Saccharomyces cerevisiae S288C: one gene and its partner. The protein of the gene in region 2 purifies or fractionates together with the protein of the main gene of each other region. This does not show direct contact. Each region holds a gene or a part of one and is shown on either strand. Other genes may lie near its edges.

The links.
Region 1: the proteins of MTF1 (region 2) and MOD5 fractionate together in Saccharomyces cerevisiae (co-fractionation; one large-scale study listed by BioGRID). This does not show direct contact.

The regions. Positions count from the first base shown.
Region 1 is NC_001147.6:835,462-839,460, forward strand, and holds MOD5 (tRNA dimethylallyltransferase), read left to right. Parts: upstream 1-2,212; coding exon 2,213-3,499; downstream 3,500-3,999. Other genes in the region: TPO4 (Tpo4p), read right to left, coding at 1-970; RIM20 (Rim20p), read right to left, coding at 3,623-3,999. UniProt on the Saccharomyces cerevisiae protein: Catalyzes the transfer of a dimethylallyl group onto the adenine at position 37 in the anticodon loop on a specific subset of tRNAs both in the cytosol and the mitochondrion, leading to the formation of N6-(dimethylallyl)adenosine (i(6)A).
Region 2 is NC_001145.3:722,522-726,315, reverse strand, and holds MTF1 (RNA polymerase specificity factor), read right to left. Parts: upstream 1,691-3,794; coding exon 665-1,690; downstream 1-664. Other genes in the region: RRP5 (Rrp5p), read left to right, coding at 1-382; TATA-binding protein-associated factor TAF7, read left to right, coding at 1,931-3,703. UniProt on the Saccharomyces cerevisiae protein: Mitochondrial transcription factor that confers selective promoter recognition on the core subunit of the yeast mitochondrial RNA polymerase. Interacts with DNA in a non-specific manner.

The DNA of each region.
Region 1 (3,999 bases), on a different chromosome or scaffold from region 2:
CACTGAAAACAAATACAATAGGTTCAACGACAAGCATTTTTAAAGGCCTTAAGATTGTAATAGTGACAGTGGTTTTTAAAAATTCTTTCTGAGCTTCCCTGCTGAACTTCTTCAAGGCTATATTTCTCTTCTTGGCACGCTTTCTTAAAATAATACCTTTATGGGTCTCTGGCATGAGCGCAATAAATGGCAAGATTAGACCGCCCGCAATCAATTGGATCCATTCAGACCAACGCCAGCCTTTGGCTTCAGTAGCAAATCCTGCCATAATAGGAGATAAAACTGGCCCTAAGAATGGAGATAGAACAAAGTATGTCATTGCGACGGAGACCTGGTCCACGTCAAAGATATCCAGGATGGTACCTGATCCAACGGATAAGGCGGGGGATGCAAAGACACCTGATAAAAACCTTAGGGGTAGAATTATTCTCATGTGGCCATTGGATAACCCAACACCCATGGTGAAAAGCATTGACACAGGTAGGGAAAATAAATAGACAGGCTTACGACCAAACACTTCACTTAATGGAGCGCCGATGACAGTCGATAAACCCAGAAGATAGAAAGTTAAACCAGCAAGCGCCAAAGTCTGACTAACGTGATATCTTTCTACCAATTCTGGTACGGAAGAAACATATAGGGAACTACCCATTGTGACGACCAAACAAAGAAAAGCTGAAGTCATAGTAGTATACCATTTCTTCAAAGAGGACCAATTATGCGGATTGTCTGGGTCATCGGGCCCGTCCCAATCGAGATCTCTTGGGTCAATTGGCTCGCCCCCTGTCATGTTATTGGAATCTGCATTCGGTTCTGATCTTTTTTCGTCCTCTGTTATTGACCCTGTCGAAGAAGAAGTCGAATCCAAGTTGCCGCTATTAGTTACATTTTTGTCCAAGGCTTTTGGTACCTGCTGTATGTTTGTTCGAGGATCTGAGTTAGATTCGGTTTTTGTCAAAGAAGAAGGCATTAGTAAAACTTAAAATATATGTATACGATGTCTATGCTTCTTTGTGTGTGTATGTGTGTGTATAAGATGGTATCTTTATTCTGTAATTTTCAGGAAAGTGATGACTAGAAAATCGATGTGTCAGGTACAACAAATTGACAACCTATAACTTTCCATACAGGCGAATATATATATACACATAAACACATTCAAGCCTCCGGTACCGTTTGCTCTGACAAGGACAATTAGCATGTAAGCACGAGTGCGGGTATGCAATCATTTCAGTGTTTCCTTCATTTGGCATAGTGTCGTAACACGGATTTAAGGTGAGCCGTCAGGGGCTTTTAAGCGGAGCCCCTGCAGCTTCATGAAGACGGAACCGCACGGGCCTATTACCTCGGGGATAGATCAATTATCCGAAGCGGGTCACAACCCGGAAATAATAACCACTATGCCCGACCGTACCGACGTGGCACTATTTTTGGGATCCGTGGAAGTCGGCCATTAGTGGTAATCGGCGAAAACAAGTTTATTGCAGCTAAAGCACGCCATACGGTTGATATAAACAGCAATTAGGCACTTTTTCTCTTATTATTCATATGCCTTATTGGCTTGTGGCTTGTGGCTTGTAGCCTATGCAAATGCATTTGCTGATAGCAGCATAAGAAAGTTGGGAAGAAACGCTAACTGTACTTTTTATATCCAGAGTTCATTAGTTGATCTTTTACCCCAATAATTTCTTCCACTTGCGGCCTGCTTCTTCGCATTTCTCCCATTCCGGGCCGCGACTCCGTAGTTCTTACAGAAACAGCCGCCTCCATAACCATCTATGATAGGAAAAAGATGGACAAACAGGAAAAGAGCTAGGGAGTATAACCTGATTCCTGACATGTATAGGATTCGGGTAATTTTGAAATACGAAGCTCTTTGCATTCCGAGACCGGTTTAGGAAGATTTATTTACATATCTACTTGCGCTATTGTGGTCATGCCTTCGAAAGATAAAGAGCGAATTTTGCTCGTATAAGCTAAAATCAGGTAAAAGTTCCTTATGTTGCTGCTCCTCGATGGCAACGTCGATCTAAGATCTTGATTACTGAATCAGGCGAAAGCACACGTTCATCTTTCGCTCATCGGAAAGAAAATTAAAACAGAAAAAAATTCTAAAATGGCAAAAAAGAAGAAAAGCTCAGTGAGGGCTGTATAGTTTATTAGATAAGCTACTATACGTACATATCTTTTGTAAATAGAACCAAAAATCTTCATGCTAAAGGGACCGCTTAAAGGTTGCTTAAATATGTCTAAAAAAGTTATAGTGATTGCTGGTACAACAGGAGTAGGAAAGTCTCAGTTGTCCATACAATTGGCACAAAAATTTAATGGCGAAGTTATCAATTCGGATTCTATGCAGGTATATAAAGATATTCCTATTATAACAAATAAACATCCGCTTCAAGAAAGAGAGGGCATTCCTCACCATGTAATGAATCACGTAGATTGGTCAGAAGAATACTATTCCCATCGTTTTGAAACTGAATGCATGAACGCTATTGAAGATATTCACCGGAGGGGTAAGATACCCATCGTTGTTGGGGGTACTCATTATTATTTGCAGACTCTTTTCAATAAGCGGGTCGATACGAAATCATCCGAACGTAAGCTCACAAGGAAGCAGCTCGATATTTTGGAATCGACTGACCCTGATGTGATTTATAACACACTTGTGAAGTGTGATCCTGATATAGCTACCAAATACCATCCTAATGACTACAGGAGGGTACAACGAATGTTGGAAATCTACTATAAGACGGGCAAAAAACCAAGCGAGACATTTAACGAACAAAAAATAACTTTGAAGTTTGATACCCTATTTTTATGGCTATACAGTAAGCCGGAGCCACTTTTCCAAAGGCTTGACGATCGTGTAGACGACATGCTAGAAAGAGGCGCCTTGCAAGAAATCAAGCAATTATATGAATATTACAGTCAAAATAAATTTACGCCGGAGCAATGCGAGAATGGTGTTTGGCAAGTTATTGGCTTCAAAGAATTCTTACCGTGGCTAACCGGGAAAACTGATGACAACACAGTAAAATTGGAGGATTGTATAGAAAGAATGAAAACGAGAACACGTCAATACGCAAAAAGGCAGGTAAAATGGATCAAGAAAATGCTGATACCTGACATCAAAGGCGATATATACTTACTGGATGCCACTGACCTTTCTCAATGGGACACGAATGCATCTCAAAGAGCGATAGCTATTTCCAATGACTTTATTAGCAATCGACCCATCAAGCAAGAAAGGGCACCTAAAGCCCTAGAGGAGCTGTTGTCTAAAGGCGAAACTACGATGAAGAAATTGGACGATTGGACACATTATACTTGCAACGTCTGTCGTAACGCAGATGGTAAGAACGTTGTAGCTATTGGCGAAAAATATTGGAAAATTCATTTGGGTAGCAGAAGACATAAATCCAACTTGAAAAGAAACACTCGTCAAGCTGATTTTGAAAAATGGAAAATAAACAAGAAGGAGACTGTGGAATGAAAATATTAGGAAAAAGGAGTTTATCCTGAGTGTATATATCTACATAAGTGAAGCTGGGTTTTGATAATGGAAAGGGAGGATGACAAGCTCAAAATATACTTTATAGATGAATGAGGACAGGTATCATTGGTCTTCAAATGTCAAACTCTTATCAAGCCTAGCTTTTTCTGCTCTTCTTGCTGTATCATATTCCTGTACCTCATTGTACAGATTGCTGGTAGAAGTAATTAAATTTTCGTAAAATGCTGTGCCGGCACTTAAATTTTCTTTCACCTCATCAAGCAGTTTGAAGGAATATCTCAGATCTTCAATATATAGCTCTCTGGGATCTATTCTTACCATTTTCTTTGGTTCAATCCCGCTTCTGCCGGGGTTATTCTTCTTACTTAGGTTTACTTCCTCAATAAGTTTGATATTTTCTTCCTTTGTACTATTAACGTATCTTAAATCTTCGTCAAAGTATTTTAAATGGCCTATGAAAATGGGTTCAAAGTCGACTG
Region 2 (3,794 bases):
TATTTTAGGTAATGCTTTGAAGGCCCTACCAAAGCGTAATCATATCGAGGTTGTCCGCAAGTTTGCTCAATTAGAATTTGCAAAGGGTGACCCAGAAAGGGGTCGGTCATTATTCGAAGGTTTGGTTGCTGATGCGCCAAAGAGAATTGACCTGTGGAACGTTTACGTAGACCAGGAAGTGAAGGCAAAAGATAAGAAGAAGGTGGAAGATTTATTTGAGAGAATAATAACCAAAAAAATAACAAGGAAGCAGGCTAAGTTTTTCTTTAATAAATGGTTACAATTTGAGGAATCTGAAGGTGACGAAAAGACCATTGAATACGTTAAAGCTAAAGCTACTGAGTATGTCGCTAGCCATGAATCTCAAAAAGCAGACGAATAATTCCTGATGGATTTTTAACTGTAAAGTAATATAAATGGCTAAGTTTGTAAAGTATATTTGTAAAGTACATAGAATGTAAAGTTTCAAGAAGCAATTTCTATCGATCAATTTAGCTTTGACGGTTCGTAGAGCTCCTTTTCTTAAAGTTTTAGTTCCGCTTCTCGCTTCTTGATTACAAGATGGTTCCGTGTTAACGAAGATTGAGTTCTATGTATTTTTTATATTCACACGCTAAAATCACATATTTATTAAATAATGAAGTAAATTTTAAAAGCACTTTTTTCAACCAGAGTGCTCTGTTTGATACATATCAACAAAATCCATTAAAATATCTGGTTTGAAAGGCCACTCCATGAATAATTTCGTTAGATATATAAACTCGTCATTTGTCAAATCAATCGGACACTTTTTTAGCAGATCTTTGTCAGTGATTCTACTATTAAAATATTGTTGGCCACCATGTCCCAGCGAGTCCATGACAGTATTCAAGGGTGTTCTTTTCAAAATCATTAAGTGCCTCGTGACATAATCCCAATTATCTACGTCAAAATCGAAGTCAATTGGGTCCATTTCTACTAACGCAATTGGCTTTCCCTTTGTAGGCCATATTTCCGCAGCACTAAATAAAATGGGATCCCATTCTTCTATGCATTGACTATCAAATCCCTTCAATTCATTTGCGTCTGATATGGCAATGAGTTTAGTATCTGTAAATGCCTCCCTTACTACTGAACATTTGGATCTAGAATGCATGCCTGGCCTAGCTAGAAGTTTTCTAGCTGTTGTGCTTGGCATCCATAATAACATCTTTACTTTACCAAACCTATACAACCAGTTCTTGTTTCCAATACAGGACAGCCACTGCATTATAAGACCTTCAGAACCCTCCCCCGTCACATTAGCAACGGTTAGAAATTTATCATTAATATGATCTGAGGATTGAACTTCAGGAACAAATATTCGCTCTTCGTCAATTAGATTCGAGTAGGTTGACCAGTCATATGGATCTCTTTTTAGAATTTGCAATGGAGACCCTTCGAATTTTGCATTCAGAAACTTGTAGAGACTTGAGCGTTTTTCTAATAAAGAATATTGCCTGGGGCAATATTTATTATAAAAAATAGCTGATTGTATACCAACACCAGGGTAGAGGTCAAGTACTTTCAATTCTTCTGGATGTTTATACGTTTTAGTTAAATCCAGCTTATCAAAGATTTTATTGTATACTGTTGGATTCCATAAATATTTGAAACCATAAAAGAACTTAAGTTTGGAGATATCTTTAATACCAGGGATTGGAACAGACATAGTTGCTGAGCCTTCTTACTTCAAAGAATGGTATTGACTGACGTAGTAACCGCATTTGTAAAGTTTCATCTCTATTATCATCATACAATAATATCGCTGTTATTCGGCCGATGAGAACAGTAAATAAAATTTCAAGACAAAACTTGCTAGCAAAAATAATAAAAGCGAGAAGAATAGGAAGAACTACATAAACAAGAGACAGTGTTACCATTCAAATTAGTCGCAATAATCGACGTAAATATGGCTGTTATAAGAATTAAAAAACCCAGAGGACCAGGAGAGAAGGATCAACCATTAGAAGGCGAGCCTAAACTAAAGAGAATTCGCATAAAGACAAAGGTAACTGATGAAGATATCAAACCAAAGCCTAAATTAAAGATAAACCTAAAGAAAAAGAAAGAGAGTGCTGACGGCAAAGAGAAGAAGAATTCATTGAAGTTAAAGTTAAACTTGAAAAAAAATGAAGAACCAGTTAAGAAGATACACAAGGCGCCAAAGCTACGTCTCAAACCTATTAGAATTCCTGGGGAAGCGTACGACTCAGAAGCCTCTGATATTGAAGATGACCCTCTCATAGAGAGTGGTGTGATATTAAGGATACTTCCAGACATACAGTTAGAGTTTGTAAAAAATTCGTTAGAATCAGGTGATTATTCTGGGATAAGTATCAAGTGGAAAAACGAGAGACACGCTGTCGTAACAATAAACGATGTAATGTATGGTGCCATTCTAGTAGATTTGCCTACAGTTATAGAAGTGAACAAGAGCGTCGATAGAAAAAACCTCCTGAAGACATTTGACGTATCACAAATGCTACTATGCATAAGACCTATACAAGAAGAGGAAGAAGTATATGCCCTAGAAGCCCCTGATACAGAAGATCTGGTTGTTAAGCATTTTGAAGGCATAGAGGATGAAATTTGGGAGAATAAAGAAACCTTCTTAAAAGGATACAATGGTGCGCCTTTAAGTGATATGGAGGCTAAACATTTGAAAGAAATAGCTTTGAAGGGCTATGACTACAAACATGGAATATCACCACCTTTGTACAATGTTCGAAATAGACGATTTAGACGGAAAATGGACCCTAATGAAATAGACTATGTAGAAAAAGTGGTTGATATGCTTTTGAAGCAAGATAAACAGGCAGAAGAGGTCAGCTATGATCTGGTTGATAAAAGTGAACTGCAAGCGAGGCAAGAGCGTGTTTCTAGTTGGGAAAATTTCAAAGAGGAGCCTGGAGAGCCTTTATCTAGACCTGCTTTAAAGAAAGAAGAGATACACACAATTGCTTCGGCAGTAGGAAAACAAGGTGCAGAAGAAGAGGGAGAAGAAGGAATGGAAGAAGAAGAAGAGGAGGATCTTGACCTAGGCGCTGCTTTTGAAAGTGAAGAGGAAGGTAGCGGTGCCGAGGGAGACAAGGAGCAACAACAAGAGGAAGTCGGTGATGAGGTGGATCAAGACACAGGCGGAGAAGATGATGACGATGATGACGACGGTGACATTGAAGCTGCTGGTGGGGAAAGTGAATCTGATGACGAAAAAGACGAAAACAGACAGCACACTGAATTACTTGCGGACGAATTGAACGAACTAGAGACCACCCTGGCCCATACCAAGCATAAATTAAGTAAAGCCACGAATCCTCTTTTGAAAAGCAGGTTCATAGATAGCATTAAAAAGCTCGAGAAGGAGGCTGAACTAAAACGTAAGCAGTTACAACAAACCGAAGATTCTGTCCAGAAACAACATCAACATCGCTCTGACGCAGAAACTGCAAATAACGTCGAGGAAGAAGAAGAGGAAGAGGAAGAAGAAGAGGAAGAGGATGAAGTGGACGAAGACGAGGAGGATGACGAAGAAAACGATGAGGACGAGGATAATGTGCATGAACGGGAACACATACAAGAGAACAAGGTGGTGCGCGAACTTGATGAAGCCCCCGCAGAGGAAACACTCGACCAGAACGATCTCGATATGATGATGCTATTTGGTGCAGAGGGTGATGAGTAAGTTCTCTTTATCATCTATATATTACTCTTATACACTATACGACTCTACTCTATGACGTATAGCATTGATATATATTAAGGCACGACACCGA